Linked DNA regions of Sus scrofa. The protein of the gene in region 6 purifies or fractionates together with the protein of the main gene of each other region. This does not show direct contact. Links are inferred from orthologs where the notes say so. Each region holds a gene or a part of one and is shown on either strand. Other genes may lie near its edges.

Region 1 (2,791 bases), on a different chromosome or scaffold from region 6:
GCTATGGTGTGGGTCTCAGACAAGGCACAGATCCCATGTTGTTGTGGCTGTCGCGTAGGCTGGTGGCTACAGCTCCGATTAGACCCCTAGCCTGGGAACCTCCATATGCTGCAGGAGCGGCTCAATAAAAGGCAAAAAGACAAAAAAAAAAAAAAAGATGGTATATACATATACTATCAGTGTATACATAGAGGTGTGAAGCTAGACTGCTTGTATTTGAATTTCAGCTTGGTATTTGTCTGAAATACATAACCTCGGAGAGAAACTAAACGTCTTCCAACTTCAATTTTCCCATTTCTAAATGGGATAATAAATTAAACCTATCTTATTAAGGTTGTTGCGGAAGATGAGTCATTTTGTCTAAAGTGCTTCAGAGAGTGCTTGGCATATAGTAAGCAGTCAACTTAAATATTTTGTTTTCTGTTAATTGCTGCTTGTTAGAAAACAGATGTTGAACCTGTTGTGTGTTTAATTAATGTGTATTTATGTACATAGGTGGTGAAATTGCATCTACCTTTGACCACCCAGAGCTAGTGAAGCTTGGAAGTTGCAAACTTATTGAGGAAGTTATGATTGGAGAAGACAAACTCATTCACTTCTCTGGGGTAGCCCTGGTGAGTGATTATGTAGATCCTGGTTTGGGCTCTGCCGAAGTGAAAGTTATTGTAGTTACTAAAATATACAAAACATGGTTTGTGTTAATTTCAGTCTCTTGAGGGCAGCCTCATGGTAACCTTATCTTTGTGAACAGTATATATTCAACATAATTGTTTTAGATAACTTAAAACTTACAGGAATATGGATTGTTAGCAAAGAATACGTAATAGTGGAAGACATGTCAGTTTTAAAAACCAAATAATATAATTAATCTGCATAGTAGAAGGCAAATTTTATGTTTCATAACTAAATGTTCACTGTGACATAAAAAATGTGTTTTTTTTTTAACCTTAGGTGAGGCTTGCACCATTGTTTTACGTGGTGCCACTCAACAAATTTTAGATGAAGCAGAAAGATCTTTGCATGATGCTCTTTGTGTTCTTGCCCAAACTGTGAAAGATTCTAGAACAGTTTATGGAGGAGGTAAGCATTTGAAAAATACTGAGCATATTTTTGACTTCCCTGGTGGCCTGTAGCTTAACTATGTGGTGCTGTCACTGCTACAGCTCTGGTTCATTCCCTGGCCTTTTCACATGCTCCAGGCGTGGTCAACTCAAAAAAAGAAAAATGTTAAGCATATTGTATTTTTTAAAATGTAGTAATGCTTTTGGCTTTAATAGTTCTTATAGAAACTTTACATTGCCTTTGCACTTAATTTTCAAATGGTTAATGTATTTGAAGGGAAGTCAGTAATTTAGTGTTTTCGAGACAACTAAGCAAAATGATGTGTTGTTGGAACTTTAATCCATAGGGTGTTCTGAGATGCTCATGGCTCATGCTGTGACACAGCTTGCCAATAGAACACCAGGCAAAGAAGCTGTTGCAATGGAGTCTTATGCTAAAGCCCTGAGAATGGTAAGTTAATGAAAAAGAGAGACCTGAACTTAAATTTTATAGGTATTGTTGGTTTTTCTATCTTGGACAGAAAATGTTTACTTTCTTGGCTTTAAGGAAAATTGGTTCACACTACTTAAATCTGATTTCGGAGTTTTCTTTATGAGCAATAATTAAAAGGAAGCAGATTTACATTGTTTCTAAATGTGTAATTTTAAAAAGCTTTTCTTCTGGTTTGTAAGTTAATTTTCTTTTAGTGGAGTAGTTACCATGTCTTTTTCACTTCATAGTTGCCAACTATCATAGCTGACAATGCAGGCTATGATAGTGCAGATCTGGTTGCACAGCTCCGAGCTGCCCATAGTGAAGGCAATACAACTGCTGGACTGGGTAAGGAATAATTGGAACCTTGTAATAGTTGTTAATAATAATCTATAAAATATTCTCGTGGCCCTTGCCTTTATAACTGTTAAACATCCTAGGAAAGTTTTTTAACTTTGTAGTTTCAGTACTGCTAAAACTTAATTATTCTTTAAGGGGTATAAAACTAGTTAGGAGATTTGTAAATAGTTTATTATGTAATGACTGTAAGATTTAAATACATAAAAGAGTTTTTATATTCTGAAGTAACTAAACTTAACCATATGTTTTATAATCACTGTTAACTCTTAATCTCACAGTAAACTTATTCTGAGCATTCTTGAGTGATGCATACATGAACATGGCCAAAAAACAGATCTAACTCATTGGAGAGTTTCCCAAAATACTGTCTAGACATTGAAGGAATTCTTAGAGAGTTGATAATCCTGTCACTGGAGAAGATAATCTGCCAGAAGATGAAGGAGGACTCTAACAAGAAGAAAAGTACATGACATAAATTCTTTTCCAGTTCTTAAGAATCCATGGTGTAATCAATGATGAGCAGATTTTCTTCAGTTTTTATTTATAGTTGGATAAATGTGGATAATACAGTGTTGTATATAAATTTTCCATTATTTGATAATAGTTGCCCTCTATTAATACAGATGACATTTTCTAAATCGCTTTCCTTGAGTGGTTGGCTGTTGAGAGTGTTCTCAATAACTAAATTGAATAAATGGTTGTAATTTTATTTTTTATAAGTGAGGATTAATTTTATTATGTCATTTGGTATGTTGATACTTTAGTTGTTAAGACTATAGTTGTTTATTTAGTAAATACTTTTCAGATATGAAGGAAGGTACCATTGGAGATATGGCAGTACTGGGTATAACAGAAAGTTTCCAAGTGAAACGACAAGTTCTTTTAAGTGCAGCTGAAG
Region 2 (4,069 bases), on a different chromosome or scaffold from region 6:
GACCAAAAATAACTAAGTAAATAAAGTAAAAATAAATTTGCAATCTCCTGGGATGGATCATGATGGGGGGAAAAAAAAAGGAATGGGAGTTCCCATTGTGGCTCAGTGGGTTAAGAACCCAACTCATATCCATAAGGATGTGGGTTTGATCCCTGGCCTCACTCAGTGGATTAAGGATCTGGCGTTGCTGGGAGCTGTGGTTTAGGTCACAGACAAGGCTTGGATCTGGCCATTGCTGTAGCTGTGGCGTAGGACAGCAGCTACAACTCCCTAGCCTGGTGACTTCTATATGTCTCAAGTGCGGTCCTAAAAAGACAAGAAAGAAAAGAAAAAAAAAAAGATGTGTGTATATATATACATATATATGTATGACTGAGTCACTTTGCTGTACAGCAGAAATTGGTACAATGCTGTAAATCAACTATTTTAATTAAAACATTTTTAAAAAGAATATCAACCCTCTATGACTGTTTTGCAAATAATTTTCTCAGTTTTTCATTTGTTTTACAATATTTTAATTATGTCTTTGCAGCATAGAAAACTACCCAAATTTAGGTAATCAAAGTTACGAACTTTTTCTCTATTGTATCTCCCTTTAATTTATGCCTAGGAAGGCTTTCATTTCTAGAATCAGTTACGTATAAACCAACATTTTATTTTAGCCCATTTTATTGTTATTTTAAAAGTCAAATCTTTAATCCATATGGAAGGAAAATTCATTGCAAAGAAAATAAAACTATAGTTAGTATAGAAAATATAAACTTGTATTGCTTGACTTGTATAAAGAACAATGGAAGGATAAGTAAGAAATATAGGCAATGGGGGTGAGGTAAGCAGGGTAGAGAGGACAGGGATGGAGGCAAGATTTTGCTTTGCATATTTCGAATTACATAAATGTGTTAAAAAATAAATTTAAAAATCTTAATTTTTTGGGAGTTACCATTGTGGTGCAGTGGAAACTAGTAACCATGAGGTTGTGAGTTGGATTCCTGGCCTTGCTCAGTGGGTTAAGGATCCAGCATTGCTGTGAGCTGTAGTGTAGGTCCCAGACGCGTCTCAGACCCTGCAGTGCTGTGGCTGTGCCGGCAGCTGTGGCTCCAGTGCGACCCCTTGCCTGGGAACCTCCATATGCCTTGAGCGCGGCCCTAAAAAGAAAAGAAAAAAAAAATCTTAATTTCTTTGTAAGCAAGATGTCTACATTTATAAACTCATAGGTCTAGGAAACGTTCAAGTTGAGACAGATAAAACTGAAAAACAGATAATTCTGAAACAATTTAATGAAATTTTGCTAAAGTAGATTAAATCGAGTTTTCTTTTTTTTTTTCTTTTTGCTTTAAGAAAGCGATCAATCCTTCAGGCCCTGAAATTTAGAGAGAAAATGTTAGAACTCATGATTAGGCTAGAATTGGAAAAATATCCAGTATCTTTTAATATAATTAAAATCACGTAATAAATCATTCTTGGGTTTGTGCAGCCAGATCACACAAGATTTGAACTGTTTCAAAGTAATAATGCTGGCTGATGTTAGAAGAAATTTAAATTCCTGTGGACTGGGTTTAAAATTATTAAATCTGAAATTCTTTCTTCGTGCCCTCTGGAATTCACTGCCCATCAAAATTCCTGTAGTCTCAAATCCTCCTGTTAACAGTCTCTTTACTTTCTTATTCAAATGGAAATCTGCAGCCCTCTTAAACTGTGGCTATTTTTCCACCTTTCCACTGGGCCAGGAAGGTGACTTCAACTAGAACCCAGAGTTTGCTACCATAAAGTAACTGTTGCAAACTTTCTTTCCCAATCCCTGAGCCCTAAGTGATTAGGTCCAATTCCTTAGTCTACCTAGATATTGGAATTTCAAATTTAACTCTGCCAAAATAGACACTTATTTTTATTTATTTATTTATTTTTGCTTTTTAGGGTCACATGTGTGGCATATGGAAGTTCCCAGGCTGGGGGTCGAATCAGAGTTGCAGCTGCTGGTCTAGTATCCTCTGGATACTAGTTGGGCTCATTACCACTGAGCCACAACAGGAACTCTCTGAAATAGAGATCTTGATTCACCCTTTTCATCTCTATAAAAACTTCACTATCACTTTAATGCCTCAAATAAAAAAATCTAAAATCATCTTGAGGAGTTCCTGTCACAGCTCAGTGTGAACAAATTTGACTAGTATCCATGAGGACGCAGGTTCAACCCCTGGCCTCAATCAGTGGGTTAAGGATCCGGTGTTGCTGTGAGCTGTGGTGTAGGCTGCAGATGCAGCTTGGAGGCTGTGGTGTAGGCCGGCAGCTATAGCTCCTATTCGACTCCAAGCCCAGGAAACTCCATATTCTGTGGGTGTGGCCCTAAAAAGACAAAAAAAAATAAATATAATAAAATCACCTTGATATTTCTCATCTTTCAAATATCCACATCAAATCCATCAGCAAGTCCTATAGGACCAGGACCCTTAATCAAATGATAGTATCACATTCCCACTGACATCACTGATATCCCACCGTCAAACATTATCAACTCTCCCCTGCACACCCTCAGAGCCCTTGTACCAGTCTCATAATGGTCTCCACTTTTAAATCCAATCCTGGTATGGTCAAAAGATTGTTGTGAAGTTCCTGTTGTGGCTCAGTAGTAACGAACCCAACTAGAATCCATGAGGACACGGGTTTGATCCCTGGCTTCACTCAGTGGGTTAAGGATCCAGTGTTGCTGTGAGCTGCCGTGTAGTTCACAGACACAGCTCAGATCCCAAGTTGCTGTGGCCATGGTGTAGGCCGGCAGCTGCATTTCTGATTTGACACCTAGCCCGGGAACTTCCATATGCTGTACATGCATCCAAAAAGCAAAAAGTAAATAAATCAATTAATTAAATAAAATTAAAAAAAGAAAGATTGTTGGAGTCAGAGTATCGGAGGGAGTGGAAAGATAGGCTGTAATCAGTGAACGAGATTAAGGAGAGTTTACGATGAGAGAGTCATAAAACCATGGGAGTGGGAGTTCCCATGGCTCAGCAGAAAGAAATCGGACTGGTAACCATGAGATTGCAGGTTCACTCAGTGGCCTCACTCAGTGGGTCAAGGATCTGCCGTTGCCGTGAGCTGTGGTGTAGGTTGCAGACACTGCTTGGATCTGAAGTTGCTATGGCTGTTGGGTAGGCCAGTGGCTACAGCTCCGATTCCACCCCCAGCCTAGGAACCTCTATATGCCTTGGGTGTGGCCCGAAAAAGCAAACAATTAAAAATTAAAAAAACTAAAATAAAACCATGGGAGTGAGTAGCTCCATGGCAACAGAGGGCAAGACCACTGAATGTGAGTTCAAGGAAGTGAGAGGCCAGAGTGTTGGATCATCCAGGTATGTATTTCAAGTGAGGAATTAAGATAGTAGTGGAGTTGGAGAGTAAGCCAAGAGTTACAATTTTCAAGAAATTAAGAGGGATTTTAGGGGTCAATAAATTGACAATGCAATGTTGTCAGGAGATGTTGTCAGGTGACTAAAGACTAAAGGCTCTTGTGGTGTAGGTCAAAGACGCGGCTCAGATCGCTCAGATCCTGCGTTGCTGTGGTTCTGGCATAGGCCGCAGGCCGGCGGCTCCAGCTCTGTTTCGACCCCTAGCCTGGGAAACTCCACATGCTGCAGGAGCGGCCCAAGAAAAGGCAAAAAGACAACAACAGCAACAACAACAACAACAACAACAACAACAAAAGACTAAAGGCTCTATGTGTTTAGGAATGTGGGAGGGAGATTCACCCATCTCATCTCCAGGCTTTACTTCTATAACATATACCAAATCCATTTCCTCATCTCCATTTTTACTGCTGCCATCCTAGTCCTTTCTCCCTCTCTCTTTCGTGGATCCCTGCAATTGAGCTTCCTAATTGATGTCCTTGATCCTTGATTACCAACATTTTACAGCATCTTTGATACTACGACTTGTTTTAACCAGATTCAATTCACTGAGAAAGAAGGTGACTGATCCCTGGAAGCTCCCACGTGGCCCAGTGGGCTAAGGCTCTAGCGCTGCCACAACTGTGGTGGAGGTCACAACTGCTGGACAGGTTTGATCCCTGGCCCAG
Region 3 (3,500 bases), on a different chromosome or scaffold from region 6:
AAGTAGCAGTGCTCACCAAGGCTTGGAAGGTTTTCTTTGTTTGGCGGGCGTGTTCGGGAGTATTTGAAGGAGAACTTCCTGTTTGGATGTTTCTCGCTCTCCCCAAAGGGTCTTGCGTCTCCCTGTCCAGGGGGCCCAGCCTGTCTGCCCAGCCTGCCTGCTCTGTTTCATACTTCGATTTTGTTTGGTAAAAAGGGGTCTTCAGAGTACGGAGATGAGAAGCTCTGGAATGCAAGAAGGGGGATATTGTGAATGCATAGACCTTTGCTGTTTTTAAAAACCTGAGTTTTGACCTGAAATCTCAACTGGCTCAAGAAAGCGTTATCTCTTGGTGTCTTAGATCTGTATGTCTTAGTCCTGCTTGTCTGCTTAATGGGACAACAGAAGCTGACATTCTGGAGAAGGGCTTTGGGGAAGGCTGTCTTGGTGTCACGCTAGTTGTCACGCAGAGGTGCAGGCGCTCCTGGAGAACCTGCGCTCGAGAAGAGCCGAGCTGCTCCTCTCAAGGCTGGGAGGACCTGTCCCCGTGATACCCTCCCACTGCGAGGGGCTGTCAAGGGAGGATGGGTGAAAGTGGTCAGCACATGGGGAAAAGCCCAGAAAATGGGAGACAGGGAGACACCGAGGGGCCAGTTTGAGAAAGTAAATTAATTTAGAGCGAATTCAATCCCGAAGTGATGGAAAGAGACCACTCAGCCTCATGTGCATCAGGCCCAGTAGAAAGGGTCGCGTCCTTCCGTGGCTCTGGGCACTCGGTGAGCTTCGTCCTCTGAACCTGGGCGTCATGCCCGGCCTCGGGCCCCGGGGCTGGGGGCTGGGGACTGTGTCGTCCTCAGAGTCTTCCTGGGGAACCTCCCCTCATGCTGGTCCCGCGCTCAGACCTGAGTCATTTATTTTTCACGTTGCTCTTTCCTCGTTTCTGGGGGGTGGGAACCTGGGGGGCAGGTGGAGTCCCCATGTGACGAGCAAGTCGCATTTGGAGCAGTCATGGGGACCTTGGCGGCCAAGGTCCCCAGCTCTGCGGGAGATGCAGGGCGTGTCCGCAGGCTGTGGTTTCCCGGGGCCGTTGGTTTCGTTTTCCCTCTTGTTCGCGATGTAACTCGGAGCCTTGCCTGCCTTGCCCTTGAGGCCTCGGCCCCCAGGTGCCCCCTCCCCCCAGCTGCCACCCTGTGGTGGCCTTGCAGGCGTCCCTGCTGAGCCCTGAAAGGTCCTCTCGGGACCTTTACCACTTGTCTGGCTGATGGAGATAAGAGCGCAGGAGGGCGTGGTGGCCTGAGGACGCTGATGGAGGGCAGGGGCCACGGTGCAGGAGGGCAGCTCCACCCTTCTAAAGCCCCGGACCCAGGCGCCTCCGTTCCTGTCCCTTTGCTGCGAGGACCAGCCGGGAGGAGGCATTTCCGAGTGTCCCCGTGGGCCTCCTGACCCCACGGTGGAGGAGCCTCCTGTGCTGCTCCCCCGGCGGCACAGACCGTCCTGCAGCTCCCTGGCCCTGCGGGGAGGAGCGGGCTGGCCTGTCCTCTGAGGTGACAGGGTGCCTGTAACATGAAGACACCAACAGTGACTCAGCAAAAGGCCTGGAGAAAGGACGTGGCCACGGTGAACCCGGGTGCTCCAGGGCTTGGCCAGTGGTTTCACAGGCTCCTCAAATTCTCAATTAAAAAATAAATCCCAGTGGGCTTCGTGTGAATAGTAAGCGTGTGCCAAATCGGACACACAAATTCAGCACAAAGCCACGAGTCGGAAAGAGTGTTTTGAATACACCAACACCCAGTTCCAGACCTGAGCTCCGAAAATGGTTCTCAGACGTCCTCCAAGGAGCCCGAACTGCCGGCCTAGCTTGATTCTTACCAAAGAAAACCCCTGTCTTCATGCAGTGTTTTCACAACTGATTCTGTAACAAGCACGCCTATAACGACTGACCGCTGGAGCAGAGCCTTTGTTAAGAGGTTATCTTGGGTTTTTTTAAGGAAGACGACGACAGTGTGTCTTTGACTGAATTATAAGAACATGGAGAGATGGAGAAAGGAGGCAGGGATGTGGAAACAGCCGCGGGCGGGCTCCCTGGAGAGGGAGACGGCACGAGGGAAGGTGGGCTTCGGACTCCCTGCGTTGGCGCGGGCGCGCTTGCGACCTTATGCCACTGCACGTGGCCTGGGCAGTCGGGGTTGCTGTGTCTCTCTGCAGTAATCATTTTCTTAGTATCTACAAAAATCGAGGTCGCCCTGTTTTCCCCTTAGACATGCAGTATTTGAGATTCAAAGTTTCTCCATTCTGTATATTCCCCATACTTTTTAAAAATAGTTCAAAAACACACAGCAGAAAAACTGCATTTCTCTTTTTAGTATTTCACATTTGGATTGAATGAGAGGCTGGTTTTGTTCATGACTTTTGGGAAAAGAGCTAGTAAGACTATACAAGCGTAATTTCTTTGACGTGGATACAGATTTTTCTGCCTCAAAACTGTGTTTCTTTGTTAATTTAAGGCAAACTTCAGTGACTCCCACATCCGGCCTGTGGCACCCGGCTTTGGGGCTTTTTCAAAACCTCAGCTCATTTTGGGCAGAGTCGTCAAACTCATGGGAGTAAAAGGAGCTGGGTTTCTGTTGCTGTTGTTCTGACACTGGAAGGTGTCGCCGAGGGTCCCCCGCCCCGAGGACACGTGGTCGTCCCCAGGGTGGACCACACACTGCGGTGCCTGGGGACTGGTGTGCAGCCAGGGGCGAGGGCGCACAGGAGGGCCTGGGCCAGCCCGGGCCGTGCCCTCTGCGCCCTGTTCACGGCCCTGCGAACTGTTCTTACCCACCTCTTAGTGGGTTCCAGGGTCCCAGCAGCCACTGCCCTGAACGTACCCCCGTGTCTATCGGTAGGTTACGTGAGTGTGGGGCTGCCTTTCTGTCATGATGACAGCTCTTTTTACAAGTAAATTTTTGTGAAGAACTAATTTTTCATTCATGGAGAATAATTCACTTACTCCTTTGTTTTCAGGCTGTTGAAAACCTTTGTTCTCACAAAGTCGCCCCAACACTCTACCAGCAGCTGCGTGAGGCCTGTGAAAGCCACGTGCAGGCCCAGATTCTTCAGTTCAGAGAATATCCTTTTCTGGCTTAGGAAGTGCCTGTTCGTTACCTAGATCTTGTGACACTGAGCACGATAGGGTGAAGAGCCAAGGAGTATCCTTGATGCTGAACAGAAGCTTTTAAGATCCCCTTTCTCTGGGGAGCCAAACGCCTAGATGTATGTCGTCCGGTGGAATTTCACCACTTGAGTGACTTTGCTGATGGCATTAAAGTGAGAGTGCCCGTTCCCGAGTCTGGTTAGGAGTAGTAAGGAAAGGCTCTGTAAAAGGCCTTGAAGTTGGAGCTCTGCTGCTGTTTGTTCTTGTTTTTCTCATTTTCTGCGACATGCAACCAGTCCCCACAAACCTGGCAGCTCCCAGTCTGCGGGCCAGAGGCGAGGCTGGCTCAGTGGTCCTCTCTCCTCGCTGGCGGGACCCAGGCCTG
Region 4 (4,046 bases), on a different chromosome or scaffold from region 6:
TAGCTTTAAGTACTGCCTTTTCAAAAGGCCTCCCAGACCATCCAATTAATTCACTCAATGAATATTTGTTGAGTGTTTCCAGCACTGTTCTAAACCCAGAATAGTGAACAAAACAAGACTCTTGCTCTCAAGGGACTCACATTCTAGCTGGGGGAGACAGACATTAAACAAGGAACCATATACTCAATATGAACAAAGAACATGCTATGAGGAAAAATAAGGCAGACTGGGAGAGTGCATTTTATGCAGGTGGCCAGAGACCTATTCTTTGATATGAGGTGAGATTTCAGTAAACAGCTGAAGCTGCGGCCTAATCCACAAAAACATCTGAAGAAGAGCATTTGGAGAAGACGGGACAGCAGGTGAGAAAGCCTGAAGGACCATCAGTTATTCTAAATACCAGCTCCCTGTCTCCTGCCTACCACATCACAGTTTCCATATGTTTCGCATATTTATGTTTACTTGTTATCTGTGCTCCCTCGAATATAAGCCCCAAGTTGGGCAGGTATCTCCCAAGTCAATGCCGATGTCCCTGGTATTTAGAAAGGTTTCTAACTATACAAAGGTGATACTCACTAGTGTTTGTAGACCCTGTAATCATTGTTGCGCTCAGTAATGACAATAACCCACTAAATGTTTTATTAGCCTTTCTATCAGAATCCCGAGAGCTCCGTGAGGCAGGCAAGGATAATGGTTCTCATTCTACAAATCAACGTGAGACTCAAGAGAAAGGAAGTGAGAAGAGTGAGGAATAACTAATTTTCAGGAGGGTTTTGAACAACAAAGGTCTCAGGGCCTGAGGCAAAATTCGGAGGGGGCGCGGTTAACCAAGAGGCAGGTTAAGGCCGTGATGACCCAGAAAGAGGCGGCGTGACAGGCCACTTTCTCGTGAGTTTGGGAAAAGCAACCCTGAGCTTGGGGAAAACAACCCTGGTAAACAAAGCTGGGCACACCCTGGCCTGGACAGGGAGAAGCCGCCCCAGAGCGAACTCTTCAGAAGATACTCACCTGGTCCACGTCGTCCGCCATGTTTCAAACCCTGCGCCCTTTCCGTCCTCTCGCGAGGGCACGAGAGCTGCTCCCTATGCCCACCCCAGTCTCCGGAAACGTGAGGACTCTATGCACTGGAAGTAGAAAGAGGTTGGTTTTACAGCTTCTTGCTTCCTGCAGCTTGCATTGGTCCCTTTGAGGCTGGGGCGGAGCTTCAGCCTGGGCGCAGGCGGGAATCTACCGGAGGGGGCGTGACCAGGCCCTGCACCGCCTGGGGGCGGGGCCGCGCGCGAGCTGCGTCCCGCGGAGACGCGGTGCGTCACGCTCTAGGCGAGTCTTGCCCGGGCAGAGATGGCTCCAAAGCGCTCGGCGGGCAGGGCGCCGCGGGGGCGCAAACTGCGCGGCCAGAAGGCCAAGGGCGAGGGCAAAGCCCGGCGCGAGGAGAAGGAGGCGGGTATGAGCCAGGCTGAGTTGGGGTTGGTAGGGAGGGTGGAAGAGGTTTGGGTGGGGGTAGCAGGAGGCCGGCTTCCTGGAGGTGTGAGCGAGGCATCCTCCCTCCCACCTGCGCTGGGGGCGGTGTTCCGGAGGCCTAGGGAGGCTGGGGGTGTGCACGTGCCCAGGTGCTCCCCGGCGGCCCTGCGCCTTTGCTCTCCTGGCCAGAGGTGATGCGCCCTGAGACGTTCCGCTAGAGCCCAGCCGACCGCGAGTTCCTCTGCGTAGCCTCTTTCTGCTCCTTTTCGCCCCCAGGATGCAGGCGGAAGCAGGGGGCTGAATATGTGAAAGGTACTGCTATTATGTTGTGTCGCCACGAGACGAAGGGACCAAGACTTAGAGTGCTGTGGTGTGTGGAGAGTCCCAGATTTGGATCCCACCTGACAACGTGCATATCGAGTAGGCTGCTTATATTTGTCATGCGCAAAGCAAAACACTTGATTTCCCCTTTAAACCTATCCCTTTCTTACTTTTACCCCATATCAGTCTTTGACCCCTTCATCACTTGTTAAAACAAACTCCTTTTCCCTCCAACACACATCCAGTCCTTCAGAAAGCAAATCCTATCAGTTTAACCTCAAAACCATATCTCAAATCTCTCCACTTCTCTGTTTCCATGGCCACATACCCTGTCGAAACCACCATCACTTTTCAGTTGAACGACTGCAGTTGCCTCTCTACGGGTCTCCCTACTTCTTTTCATCCCCCTGGAGGAGTTTTCTGTGCTGCAGCGCAAAGTACCTTAAAAAAAAAAAATCTGATTTTGCCATGCTCCCACTTCAGACTCTCTGTGTCTTCCCATTGGCATAACAGCCTCCAGATTCCTCACCTTGGCCTACAAGACCCTGTATGATCTGGCTGCTGCTGCCTCTCCTGTTGTCTCTTCCTAGTCTTCTTTGCCAGGTACCTTCCTTCTTGGCCTCCTCACACACACCATGTGATTCCTCACCTGAGCCTCTGCCTAGAATATTTTTCCATGGCTTTGCTGTAGCTGACTTCTCTTCCTCCTGGTCTCAATCCAGGTATTCCTTGAATGTCCTAAGATGGTCTTTTCAGGTGCACCTTATCACAGCTTCTGTCACATCTGTAATGACCTTGTTAATTTATTTGCTTCCTGTTTGCTCTCTCTTACCAGAATTGAAAGTTATAAAAACATCTTAATTTTCTTATCTTGTTCTTTTCCCCTTCCCTGCATATACCAAATGCTTGATAAATAGTTTGTCATTGCATAATACATGTATGCTGTAGAAGGGATTTCTGGGGTTCCTGATATAACTGGGTAGACAGTTAAACTAAGTCACCAGCAAGGTCTCCTGTGACACTAGATTCAATAATTCTGTGATTCTGTACATATTATAAGGCCATCGTCCATTAGGAAATAGTAAAACAGTAACCATTTATAAACTTAAAAAGTGATTCATCTCACAATTAATACTGTGAGTTCCGTTTTATTCACTTAGTCATAAAATAAACATTCCTAATGTGTCAGTACCTAACGTGTGCTGCACACAAACTGGGAGACATGGGACTTAGAGCTTTCTTGGAGGAGCTTAGGGTATGGTAGTGTTGACATTTACAAAAAAATTTATCCAGGACAGTGGTATCATGGAAGATGGTAGGAGGCTTTGTGGCTGGTGAAGGAGTAATTAGGAGAGCTGGGAAATGAATGTTTAACCTGCAGCTTTAGGGATAGGTACTACTTTAGTAAACAGCTGGTAAAGGAGCTTGTCATTCTAATCAGGGAATGTATTTGGAATACATGGCAATTTCAAAAATTTTTTCTAATTGAAGAGGTTTGGAAATGCCACCTGCCTGAGTAGCATTCCCCCATCTAAACACTTCACCTTGTCACCAGCTTGGCATAGTGCCAGTGCTTAATAGTTATATGGGCTTGCATAAATTAGCTTGGGCAAATTAATTTCATCTCTCTGAACCTCATGTTTGACTTGTGGGGTGGTGGTGAGTTTTTCCTGAGAGCATGTGAATCTCCTGGCATGGTCTGTGTGAGGTAATCAGATGGGCCAGCTCATATCAACTCAGCCTGAACATAGGTAGGGGATTACTTAAGCCTCACGAAAATTATGAGCCAGTGCAGCTAGCATAAGTTTCTGAGGCAGCTTCTGGGAAGAGTTAGCATCTTTGCTGTGTTTGTGTAGAGGAGCAGTTTGGTTGTGGTTTTGGATGCAGCTGACACTGATTTGGTGACTCGTCAGTGTAGTTTCTTTGGTTTTTTTTTTTTTTTTTTTTTTTTTGTCTTTTTGCTATTTCTTGGGCCGCCCTTGCGGCATATGGAGGTTCCCAGGCTAGGGGTCGAATCGGAGCCATAGCCACCGGCCTACGCTAGAGCCACAGCAACGTGGGGACTGAGCCGCGTCTGCAACCTACACCACAGCTCACAGCAATGCCGGATCGTTAACCCACTGAGCAAGGTGCAGGGACCGAACCCGCAACCTCATGGTTCCTAGTCGGATTCGTTAACCACTGCGCCACGACGGGAACTCCCTCGTTAGTGTAGTTTCTGACAGCACCATAGTGTGGGTTTTTTTTTTATTTTGTTTTGGTTT
Region 5 (4,172 bases), on a different chromosome or scaffold from region 6:
TGCAGGTGAACTCATACTCTCTGGGTACTCCTGGATCTCTTCCGGTGTTCTCCCCTCTCCCCACCATTACGGAGGTCAGAAAACCAAGAGTTACCTTGAATACCCCTTCCATTTCCCATCCAGAATAAATACCTGTCAGCTTTGCTTCCTAAATGTCTTTTCTCTAGTCCGAGCTACCATCACTTCCTTTCTGCCTTCCCTCCCAGCCATTTTGCCTACTGCAACCAGAGTAATCCTGCAAAATGCAAATCTGATATTGTTCACTCCCCCCCACGACAGCCCATTTAAAAACTGTCCCTGGGACAGTTTAATCTACTACTTTGAACACATTCTTAAACTAGAGAGGCTGTAAGCTCAAGCTAGAGACTTAGCTGGAAGTTGGCAAACAGGGATCTAGTCCTAGCTGTCACTGACTTGGTGCGTGGCCTCTGTCACTACTTCTCACTAGGTTGGTTTTCCAGTCTGTGATATGGGATAAATATTCTTGGATTCACAAAGTTCAAAAGAAAGAGGCTGTGAAAGCACTAGGTAAGTTACTAGATGTAACGGATCTGTCATGAAGTCTGGAAAAGGAATGAAGCTCTAATTGCAGACCTTGGGGAGACGGACAACAGAGGAGGTGCAGGGAGAAGAGGTAAAGACAGGACCCCTCCTAAGTATGTGTGGAAGATCCTGCTGACTCTCTGAAAAGGAGGCTCTACTCTGGGTCTTCCTGCCTGGAAGGAAAGGGGCCGTTCAAGCCCCAGAAATTTTCCTACATCCCCAGAATTAGAGACTTTTGATTTGCTCTAATCCCACTCCCATGTCTTGCAGAGGGTCTTCTGTTGATCAGAGGAAAACCAACCCTATATCTGAAGAAGTTTCAGATCTTCCAGAATGTGTCAGGGACTTGAGACAGTAGTATTAGGGGGTCCTATTCTGTGATGATGGCGATCTTAAGCACCCCCACATCTGTATGGGTATTTATCTCCGCCTTCCCCCCCCCCCCCACGAGCCCGTCTATCCCATATGGGTTTGTGCCTTGTCGTTGTGAAAAGGGTTAAGACGGGGTTGTCTCAGATCCCCGAGGAGAGAAGTTCTTAGTTTTTCCTGCGTGCCCCTCCCCGCTCAACTCACCCGCAAGTGCTTCCCCGCCAGCCTCAGCGTCCTACTATCGCAGCGTTACTCGGCGCAACTCCATGGTAACCACCTTCGCCTACAAGTCCCGGCTGGCGCGGTAGGCGCTACCGCGATACCTTCCGCGAGCTGCAGTTCGTGGCGGGTGGGGGCGCCAAGGCCGCGGGTGGTGCTGGGACTTGTAGTTGCTTTTGCCCTCAAGCCGCGGGCCGGGCTCCGGAAGTTGTGGCACCCTTTCTCCCTTCCCACTTCCTTTTCGCGGGTCCTCCAGCGTGCCCTGGGCGTGCGACGCCAGCCGACACGGACCAATCGCAGGGCGGCGCGAGGGGGCGGGGCCATAGTTTAAACTAATTGTGCGCTCGCCTCGCTGGCGCGAGCCCGTGGCGAAGGCGATCCCGGGTAGGCGAGAGGCGGAGCGGGAGCGCGCGGCCAGGTAAGCGGCGCGGGCCCGCTGCTGGTGTGCGGCCTGGGCGCCCGCAGGGAAGCCGGGGCCTAAAGGGGGTGCTGAGAGACGGGTGCGAACGGAAGGCCTCGTTCCTCACCGAGGCTGAGTGGGGAGAGTCTGTCGCGGGTAAGGGTTGTGAGGAGAGGGCCTTGTCCGAGGGGAGGCGGCGGACGTGCTTCGGGGGAGGGCCTGCTCGGGGGCGTGTCCGTGGCATCGAGTCTGCGGGCGACGGGGTGCGGGTGGTGCAGCTTCCTCAAAGCCTGTGGCCGCGGCTTCCTGTAGTAATGGTCCTCGCCCGTTACTGCTAACAATAGCGGTAGTACTACTAGTAAACAGTTCCCGAGCACCGACGACGTTTCAGAGGCTGTGCCACGCCCGTTATGTGGATCCTCTTTTAAACAGTCCCGCAGCTTTGTCACACTTTACTACAGCGGGGCCCTTCTGAGGTTTATGTTCGGCTTGGCCGGGGTTGTATAACCAGTGCGTGGTTGGCTCCACTGGCGTCTTTGTGGGTGGGGCCTGAGTGGGAAGGAGGTGCTTTATTGGCAGTGAGGGTTGTCTCGGACGAGTCAATTTATTGTGAGCCTCACTTTTTCACGTGTGGTGTAAACAACGAGTTTACGTGCCCTTACCTACTTTCCTGGGGTTGTTGGACGGGGGGTGGGGGGTGTGCGGGTCAAATTAGGTAAAGTGTTTCTTTGAAGCGTCTCGGAGAGTACACATTCATGACCATAAGTGATGTGACCGTGTGAAGGTTATTGGTGCAAGAGAGCTCCTCTGGGTGGATGCTGCCCCTTCTGGGCCCCCTCTTTTGCTCACCCCTAAGGTAGCGTTTTTCATCTGGTGTTCGGAGTGTCTGCGCATTTGTCTGCCCTACTAGATAGAGACGGAATATTTTGCCCCTGTATCCTGATGCCTGTGCAGAGTGTGAAATGTATTGTGGCCATTAGTTAACATATGCTTTGAAATGAATGAGCTTTTTTGGGCTGAAAGGGGATAGGAACCTGGCTTTCCCATCTTTATTTAGTGGCTTTTGCATCTCTGTATTAAGTTAGCCTCGTGCCCAGAGTGGCACTGCCTCCAGAAAATATACTACTACTTACTTTAAACCACGCTGCCCTTTCTCTGGGGTCTGTTGCCAGGTCCTGCGTTTCTAAGGCTCTGGATTGGCAAGTGTTGTGGCCAGAAACCTTGGATGGGAAGGGAATTGGAGCTCTCTGCCTTGTGGAGATCTTTCCTGCTGTGAATTGATGAGAGCCTAGAGAGAATGTTCAGATCAGGCTAAGGCAACTTTTAGGCAGCGGGGAAGAGTATATGCATTCCCTCCCTGTCTCTTCCTGGGTGGTATTTTCTCCTTCAGAGGAAGAAACACACACTTCTCTGTAAAAAGCTACAGGGTACTCTTTTCTTGGCCCAAGTTCAAGCAAATGATGACTCATTGTAAAGCCTGAATCTTAATTCAAAGCCAGAAACGATAATTCCTCAAATTAGAACACCTTAACCGAAAGCTCATGTAAGGAATATTTCCATTTAGCGTGTCCTTTAAAAATTTTTTATTTTTTATTTTAATTAATTTTTTTGTTTTGTTTTTGTCTTTTTGGGTCAAGATCTAGATATGTTAGGATGGGAAAAGCACTGCCTCAGATGGCTGAGTAGAGTTGATCAGGGAATGTTTGACAGCTGGGTCTAATTAATAAAACCCTGTGGTCAGTAGGTATGTTGGGGGTCATTTATTTCAGCCTCTTATTCTGTACTCTAAGCATATCAAAAGGTATTGTCTAGACTCAAAACAGCACTTCTAAGAATGAGAACACCCCAAAGGTACTCTGTCTGTGTTGAACGATTCTGATAAATCACAATTATTTTGTGCTGTCAGTGATTATTTCATTTTACCCATTCATGTTTACTGTTTGTTTCCACGATTCTTTCTTGCATTTTATTCCCTCTTTTTGTGTTGGGTAGGTGAATACATCCTTCAGCTGTTTTCATAGTGAGGGTCGGTTAGTGGTAAATACTCTGTGGTGGGAAATATCTTTAATAGGGTTAATAGCTTTAATAGGTTTAATCAGTCTTGATTGGTAGTTTAGCTGGGTACTAGGCTTCCAATTCTTTTTTTTTCTTAGCACTTTGAAAATGTTATTAACCTAACCCTAACCCCATACCCTAACCCTAACCCTAATGTTATTTTACTGAAACTCTGGCATTTTGTTGTTACTCTTGAGAACTGTACTCAAAATTTAACTATTATATCATTGTATGTAACCTGCCTTTTTCTCGGTTGTTGTTGTTGTTTTTTTTTTTAATATATATTTTTTTAGGGCTGCACCCACACATAGGGAGGTTCCCAGGCTAGGGGTCGAATTGGAGCCCCACCCCAGTAGTTGTGTTTTTAATTTTTTAGGAATTTCTATGCTGTTTTCTATAATGGTTCCACCAGTATACTTTCCCACCAGCAGTACATAAGGCTTCACATCCTCCCAGGACTTGTTATTTGTTCTCACTTGTTTTATTTTATTACTTTATTTTACTTTTTTGTTTTCTTTTTATGGTTGCACCTGTGGTGTATGGAACTTCCTGGGCTAGGGGTTGAACCACAGCTGTAGCTGCAGAC
Region 6 (3,500 bases):
TCAGTTTTTAATTTTTTATTACTTATATGTGTGGGCACTGAGTGCAAAGTGATAATATTGTGGATTTTGATTAAAAATTATAACAATACATGCTCATGATGAAATATTTACAATAAATAAGGTGTTCAAAGTAAATCTGCCCTTTCTCCATTCCTACTCTCCAGAAGTAACCTTTATTTCTCAGTGTGCTTCCAGAAAGTACACACATATTTAAAAATATATAGACACAGATTTTTTTCTTTGTATTAATGGGTTCACACTATATACATACTTTATTTGCAACTTACTTTTTTCATTTATTAGTATATCTTGGGCAGTTAGTAGTACAAATCTGCCTTACTCTTTTTAGCATTTCATGGTATTTCAAAGTAAAGTAAAGATGTGCTGGAGTTCCTGTTGTGGCGCAACAGAAATGAATCCAACTAATATCCGTGAGGATGAGGGTTTGATTCCCGGCCTTGCTCAGTGGGTTGGGGATCTGGTGTTGCTGTGAGCTGTGGTGTAGTTTGCAGAATGTGGCTGTGGTGTAGACTGGCAGCTGTAGCTCCTATTTGACCCCTAGCCTGGGAACTTCCATATGCTGCAGGTGAAGCCCTAAAAAGAAAAGAACACAAAACAAAACAAAGATGTACCATCATGATTTAACCAGGTCTTTTTTGGTGGACATTTAGGTTGCTTTTTATTGCTGTTATAATCAGTCTTGCAGTAAGCATTCTTATATATATCTTCGTGAAATTATTGGATCTAAGGGTATATATAAGTATTAAGTGTTTTGGTAGATGTATCCTGATTGCTATAAAAATGTTCTATTTATACTTCCACTAAGAGTAGGTGAGCATTCAAGCCATATACCTTGGATTTAGATGGCAAAGTAACTTGGTATGTTAAGGTATTTCAGTTGGATAGACTTCAGATTCAGTCCATTTCCTGCTAAGTTTCACAGGGTAGATCTGTAATTGAGGTTGATTGGATTTAAGAGATTTGGAATATAGCCCCTGCATGGGTGGATGGGACTTCTGATTGATTGTAGGTGAGTCTCACAGCTGATCAGTGCCTTAGTTTCCATCTCTGTAAAAGGGGATGATCATTTTGCCCTATGCTTCATGTGGGGATGGATGGGAGAATGAAGAAAGATATTTGGGTTTTGTTACTCTTTTAACAAAAAATTTACGCATTGGCTTTCTCTAAAAGAAGAGTGTTAAAGTTGATTGTTATTTATATCCTTAGGTGTATAGAGGTGAAGGAAGTAGCTTTTCCTCTTTTGACTTCTTGGCAGAAGATGCCTCTACTTTAATAGTAGGTCACTGGGATGGAAGTATGTCTCTAGTGGATAGACGGACGCCTGGAACTTCTTATGAGAAACTTATCAATTCTTCTTTGAGCAAAATAAGAACTGTTCATGTCCACCCAGTGCATAGACAGTATTTTATCACTGCGGGATTAAGGTACGTTCCTCGTAACATTTTATGATTTAGGCCTTTTAAGGATTTAACATTTTTAATGTTAGAAGTAATGTTTTAGCTTGGTTGTCAAACTGACTTTTTTTTGGTGACACAGACCAAATAATTTTCCTTTCTACACTGACTGAGGAGGTTTTTTGTTTGTTTGTTTGTTTGTTTTAGTGCGTGTTTTTTTTTTATGAGCGATTCTTTTGGACTTAATAAATAATGAAAGTATTGAAACAAATATACATTTTTGTTTTCCTTGACTTCATTTATTTACTTCTAGTCTTTTGAGAAGAAAATTTGTAAAAGAAATAAAAGTTTTATGTGACCTATAATTTCTTAGTCTGTTTTAAGTCTTTTCTTGGAGAAATTAGAAAGCCAGCTAGAATCATACCTCTCTACACCCACATGGTTACATATATATGCTATAATTTTGGAACATTTATAGTTTTTAAAAGTCTGGAGTTCCTGCTGTGGCACAGTGGGTTAAGAATCTGGCTACAGTGGCTTGGGTCACTGCTGAGGTGTGGGTTTGATCCCCAGCCCAGTGCACTGAGTTAAAGGATCTGGCATTGCTGCAGCTACAGCATAGGTCACAGTTGTGGCTTGGATTCAATCCCTGGCCTGAGAATTTTCATATGCTGTGGGTGCAGTCATAAAATAAAATTAAAAAAAATCTATACTATTGTTTTAAAAATTAATACAGAAGATTAACATGTTCGATCTTAATTGTTCTTCAGTGTAGTAAGGATTTGAGTGTCTAATTTATGTTAAGCACTATTGTTCATTCTGTGTACTGTGGCAACACTGAGAATTATTCCTCCCATTCATTACAGGGATATTCATATTTATGATGCAAGGCGCCTGAATCCCAGTAGAAGCCAGCCTTTGATCTCTTTGACTGAACACACAAAAAGCATTGCTTCTGCCTATTTTTCACCTCTTACTGGTAACAGAGTAGTAACCACATGTGCGGATTGTAAGCTAAGGTAAATTGGGAAGACAAAAATAGGTTGTTAAAGAATTTAGAGTGTTTGTTACTTTGGTAGCCAGTAGCTTTGTTTATTATTGCTCCTTATTAAATCACTAGCATTGTTGTTTTGTAGCTGTATCTTGGCTCCCAAAGATCAATGCCTTGTATTCAATGGCTTTTCAGCAATTTGGGGATCTGTAAATTTCCTTGAGATTGGTAAGGGTGGTCTGTAGCTACCCCAGGGAGTTGATGTCAGGCTTTCCTTTTAGCACTGAAATTCCAATGAAAGAAGTCTTGTGATATGTTGGAAGTGAGATAATTTTAGCCTAAGGAGAAGCTCTTATAATGGGGATAGTGGGATCTACCTTGCAAGTGAAGTGCTGAGTTGAAGTTGCAGAGCCATGGGTAGCCAGTAAAGATAGCAAAATTTGGGTTTCTACACAAACTACTGGGTAAAATTTTATGGTTTTAGCCTTGGTACCTTTCTGTAGCTACTTCCTAAAAATGGATTTTAAAATGTAATGTAAACCAATTGAACAAAAATAGAAATAATGCCAAGTAAAAAAGATGTGGAGAATGTTAACGCAATAACAAAGGAAATGATTTTGTTCTCTTCTAAAATCCCTGACTTTGCTTAACATTGCAAGCATTTCTCAGTTCATGACTTTTTCCTTAAGTGATTTTGGAACTCATTCATTGTTCATTCAACAAGTGTCTGTGAATGTATACTGTGGGCCAGGCTCTAGAAAGGCACCTAATTTCTATTTAGTCTCATTTATTGGAAGGAACACGGTCTATATGTATGATAGGTGCCCAGTTAATTTCTAGTAATATCTGTGAGCATTACCAAGTAGTACATTAAGAGATTTAGTCACCAGATGTTGGCACCTCAGTGTCCCCTTTCCACCCATGAAATTTTGTCTTAAGAGCTTCTTATTTTTCCCATTCTTGTTCATTTGCACTGCAGGGTTAACTCTTATTACATTAGCTGTTAATGATTTGGCTTTCTAGTAATCTGATTAATTAATAAGCTCTAGTACCAAGAAATTGCAAAGGAATAGCTAGGCACAAGGAGAAGGGGA
Region 7 (3,500 bases), on a different chromosome or scaffold from region 6:
GTCATTGTTAGGTCTGAAAGACTTGGGAGTAGCATTAAGGTCTTTGTAGTGGGGGAAGGGGAAAGGTAAGATTTGTGAGTTTCTTAGAAAAGTAGAAGAAAAAAATAGTTCACGTGCGTGTAGACCAAACTATAACTCCCTGGGGAGTAGGGGGAATCTGGGGTGGGTAGAGGTAATAGGATGGGCAGTGGAGAATTTATGCTCTTGGTGACCATTGACATACTCATCCTCATCAAGAGAAGCTTCCTGCCCAGGCAATCAGTACTTTTCACAGATGAAGCTACAGTTTATGTTAATATAACAAATAATAAAATTAAGTCAAGAAAGGGTAATGATAAGATGAAATATTTACTACAAAATTATTTTGAAATACTGAAGACTGGGTTTTTAAAGGTTAATCATTGGCATAATTTTCTAATTACATTATAAATTATTGTTCCGGGAGTTTCCGTTGTGGCCCAGTGGAAATGAATCCAACTATCTGTGAGGATGAGGGTTCGATCCCTGGCCTGCTCAGTGGGTTAAGGATCTGTCGTTGCCTTGAGCTGTGGTGTAGGTCGAAGACACAGCTCTGATCCTATGTTGCTATGGCTATGGTAGCCTGGGAACTTCCATGTGCTGAGGGTATGGCCTTAAAAAAAGGCAATAAGTAATTGTTCCATGGTGGCACTTTACTTTTTTTTTTTAGGGCCGCACTTGTGGCATGTGGAAGTGCCCAGGCTAGGGGTCGAATTGGAGCTGCAGCTACAGCTGCTGGCTACACCACAGCAACACCAGATCCCAGCTGCATCTTCGACTTACACCACAGCTCAGGGCAGTGCCGGCTCCTTAACCCACTGAGCAAGGCCAGGAATCAAACCCACTTTTTCATGGATACTAGTTGGGTTTGTTACTGCTGAGCCACAATGGAAACTCCCCATTATGATACTTTAAAGCTTTAATTAATTTAATCTGAGCAGGATTTAAGGCAGCAGATAGATCTAAATTAAGCACAGTGTATTTTAACTAAAATATTAAATTTAAAGTTAAATTTAAGAATTCATATTTATAAAGTCTTTAGTAAGTTACCTATACTTTAATTTGAAAAATTGAATTTGAAAAGAAAACCAAAACAAAATAATAAAGTCTTAAGTAGTTTCATCTCCCCATTTGTAGTACTCATTTCATTCAGTGACTCCTTACTGTAATCATAGTAGTATATTGGTAATAGCAAAAGAAAAGCTGTCCTGAAAGAACTGAAATAGTTTTATGAGTCATTAACATATTATTTCCATGGATAAGATTATGGGTGATTTTTGAAAGAGTTGTAATTTTCCTGTAATTTGCATGTATTACTTTCATTAGATTTATTCTTAGGTATCTTGTTCTCACTGCTTTTATACTAGGAAATGAATTTATTTTGATAGAAAAGAGATAACTGTCTGTGAAATATGAGCCAATATACAATGGTATCTGATTTGGAAGGTCAGGCCTTATTAACCACTAATTAACACACTTACACACTCTTCTTCCTCCCAACCCGAAAAAGTGGAAACGCTGGTTGGTAAGATTTGTATAGATTTACCTCTCACTTGGCTTGTTCACCTCACTTAATGCTTTTCTTTTGAGTTCAGGTTATAGCATTGGGTTGGCAAATTATGAACTGGATTTGGCTTGCCTGTTTATGTAAATAAAGTTTTATTTACATATTGTCTATAACTGCTCTTATGTAGGAAGGCAGATTTGAGTCTTTGCAGTATAAACCATATTTTCAAATATTTAAATATTGGTTCTTTGCCCCTTTACAAAAAAAGTTTGTGGATCTTTATAAACTATTCATTTTTTTGTTTTCTCTCTTGTGCCCTCTGCTGTTCTTTTAGAATGTTTTAACTTTTATTGTGAATTGAGAGAGGGTACCTCCTCAGCCACTAGACTGTTGTATACTCTAACAAACCAATAAATAAATGGTGTGTAAAAATAATATGGAAAGCAGAGGTTTCTAAATGGAAGGTGTACAGAAAGTGAAAGATAAAGCTAAGAATATGAAAGTTAAAGCTAAAAGGTAAAGGCAAAGCTTGGGCAACATAATACTCAGGAGGAAAGCTTATAAGAAATTAATAGATTTAGCATGTTGAAAAATTTTGACACTGTAGTTTTTAAATTCTAAAAACATGTTCTAGGCTCTAGCTAGTGAGATTATCTTTTAATTCCAGTTTCTTTCAGATAAAACTGATGTATGAAAATTTTCTTTTCTGAAACCATTTGATTGTTTAAAAGCTTAAATTCTACTGCAATTAAATATTTACTTTCTAAGTTTAATGTCAAATATTTCAAAGTGGACTTTCAACTCTGTCAATGCCAGTAACAATATAATCAGTGTATGAAATTTCAATATTTTGTTATCCAAGCTATGTCTCACCAGATAGTTTATTGAATCCCAGAATCATGATTTATAACTATTCTAGCATTTTGTTTGTTTCATTTTTAGTAAACGAATTTAAAGTTATAATAGTATTTTTCATTACAGGAAATATATTAAACCTACAGAGCATTTATTCATTTATTTAGCCAGCTTTGTTACATGTTATGCAGAAAAATTAATGTATGTCAGAAAACTTAATAATTATGGAAACTTTCTCTTTGGATAGGCTCGAATGTCTTGGGATAGAGAGTCTGTGGATATTAGATATCGTAGACTTCAACATTTGCTTGAAAAAAGCAATATTTACTCCAAATTTTTATTGACTAAAATGGAACAGCAGCAATTAGAGGTATGTATATGTGATTGATTATACTTAATAGCATGTTTTTTAATTTTTTTGTCTTTGCCATTTTCTTGGGCCGCTCCTGTGGCATATGGAGGTTCCCAGGCTAGGGGTCGAATTGGAGCTGTAGGCGCCATCCTATGCCAGAGCCACAGCAACTCGGAATCCGAGCCTCGTCTGCAACCTACACCACAGCTCATGGCAACGCCAGATCCTTAACCCACTGAGCGAGGCCAGGGATTGAACCCACAACCTCATGGTTTCTAGTCAGATTCATTAACCACTGAGCCACGATGGGAACTTCATAAGTTTTTTTTAAAGAACGGATTTATTGAGATATAAATTACATACAATAAAACACGTACATTTAATTCTCAAGTTGAATGAGCACAATCAAGATAAGGAACATTTCCATCACTCTAAAAAGTTCTCTTGTCTAAATGATCTCTGCTTCTGGCCCTGGACAACCACTGATTTCTGTTCCTGTTATTAAATTAATATTGCTTTTTATAGAATATTATATAAATGGATTCATATGATAAGTACTCTGTGTCTCAGTGTATTTTTGAGATTCACCTATGTGTGTTTATTTAGTAGATCATTTTTATTCTGAAGAAGCATTCCATTATATGAATATACCAATGTTTATTTTTCTATTCACCTGTCGATGGTTTTTATCCTATGCAGTAATGTATTTAGACGCTAAAAATTGAATTTTATGCTGCCCAATCCCTTTTTTTAAAAAGTGCTTTAATT

The links.
Region 1: the proteins of WDR76 (region 6) and CCT2 purify together in Homo sapiens (affinity purification with mass spectrometry; 4 studies listed by BioGRID and IntAct, with this or other methods). This does not show direct contact. The link is inferred for Sus scrofa from reciprocal best matches to the Homo sapiens genes WDR76 and CCT2.
Region 2: the proteins of WDR76 (region 6) and DNAJA2 purify together in Homo sapiens (affinity purification with mass spectrometry; 3 studies listed by BioGRID and IntAct, with this or other methods). This does not show direct contact. The link is inferred for Sus scrofa from reciprocal best matches to the Homo sapiens genes WDR76 and DNAJA2.
Region 3: the proteins of WDR76 (region 6) and CUL4A purify together in Homo sapiens (affinity purification with western blotting; 3 studies listed by BioGRID). This does not show direct contact. The link is inferred for Sus scrofa from reciprocal best matches to the Homo sapiens genes WDR76 and CUL4A.
Region 4: the proteins of WDR76 (region 6) and XPC purify together in Homo sapiens (affinity purification with mass spectrometry; 3 studies listed by BioGRID and IntAct, with this or other methods). This does not show direct contact. The link is inferred for Sus scrofa from reciprocal best matches to the Homo sapiens genes WDR76 and XPC.
Region 5: the proteins of WDR76 (region 6) and NUMA1 purify together in Homo sapiens (affinity purification with mass spectrometry; 3 studies listed by BioGRID and IntAct, with this or other methods). This does not show direct contact. The link is inferred for Sus scrofa from reciprocal best matches to the Homo sapiens genes WDR76 and NUMA1.
Region 7: the proteins of WDR76 (region 6) and HELLS purify together in Homo sapiens (affinity purification with mass spectrometry; 4 studies listed by BioGRID and IntAct, counting the BioPlex papers as one, with this or other methods). This does not show direct contact. The link is inferred for Sus scrofa from reciprocal best matches to the Homo sapiens genes WDR76 and HELLS.

Annotation. Positions count from the first base shown.
Region 1 is NC_010447.5:33,868,514-33,871,304, forward strand, and holds part of CCT2 (T-complex protein 1 subunit beta), read left to right. Parts: intron 1-495; coding exon 496-636; intron 637-951; coding exon 952-1,080; intron 1,081-1,408; coding exon 1,409-1,512; intron 1,513-1,781; coding exon 1,782-1,881; intron 1,882-2,698; coding exon 2,699-2,791. UniProt on the Homo sapiens protein: Component of the chaperonin-containing T-complex (TRiC), a molecular chaperone complex that assists the folding of actin, tubulin and other proteins upon ATP hydrolysis.
Region 2 is NC_010448.4:37,582,743-37,586,811, forward strand, and holds the start of DNAJA2 (dnaJ homolog subfamily A member 2), read left to right. Parts: upstream 1-1,269; 5' UTR 1,270-4,069. UniProt on the Homo sapiens protein: Co-chaperone of Hsc70. Stimulates ATP hydrolysis and the folding of unfolded proteins mediated by HSPA1A/B (in vitro).
Region 3 is NC_010453.5:78,563,530-78,567,029, forward strand, and holds part of CUL4A (cullin-4A), read left to right. Parts: intron 1-2,985; coding exon 2,986-3,089; intron 3,090-3,500. UniProt on the Homo sapiens protein: Core component of multiple cullin-RING-based E3 ubiquitin-protein ligase complexes which mediate the ubiquitination of target proteins. As a scaffold protein may contribute to catalysis through positioning of the substrate and the ubiquitin-conjugating enzyme.
Region 4 is NC_010455.5:70,347,595-70,351,640, forward strand, and holds the start of XPC (DNA repair protein complementing XP-C cells), read left to right. Parts: upstream 1-1,246; 5' UTR 1,247-1,341; coding exon 1,342-1,444; intron 1,445-1,737; coding exon 1,738-1,881; intron 1,882-2,110; exon of another isoform or gene 2,111-2,208; intron 2,209-4,046. Other genes in the region: U6 snRNA-associated Sm-like protein LSm3, read right to left, coding at 1,009-1,029. UniProt on the Homo sapiens protein: Involved in global genome nucleotide excision repair (GG-NER) by acting as damage sensing and DNA-binding factor component of the XPC complex. Has only a low DNA repair activity by itself which is stimulated by RAD23B and RAD23A.
Region 5 is NC_010451.4:6,660,167-6,664,338, reverse strand, and holds the start of NUMA1 (nuclear mitotic apparatus protein 1), read left to right. Parts: upstream 1-1,372; 5' UTR 1,373-1,549; intron 1,550-1,572; exon of another isoform or gene 1,573-1,687; intron 1,688-4,172. UniProt on the Homo sapiens protein: Microtubule (MT)-binding protein that plays a role in the formation and maintenance of the spindle poles and the alignement and the segregation of chromosomes during mitotic cell division.
Region 6 is NC_010443.5:127,664,858-127,668,357, reverse strand, and holds part of WDR76 (WD repeat-containing protein 76), read left to right. Parts: intron 1-1,227; coding exon 1,228-1,445; intron 1,446-2,281; coding exon 2,282-2,434; intron 2,435-3,500. UniProt on the Homo sapiens protein: Specifically binds 5-hydroxymethylcytosine (5hmC), suggesting that it acts as a specific reader of 5hmC.
Region 7 is NC_010456.5:105,960,503-105,964,002, reverse strand, and holds part of HELLS (lymphoid-specific helicase), read left to right. Parts: intron 1-2,627; coding exon 2,628-2,750; intron 2,751-3,500. UniProt on the Homo sapiens protein: Plays an essential role in normal development and survival. Involved in regulation of the expansion or survival of lymphoid cells. Required for de novo or maintenance DNA methylation. May control silencing of the imprinted CDKN1C gene through DNA methylation.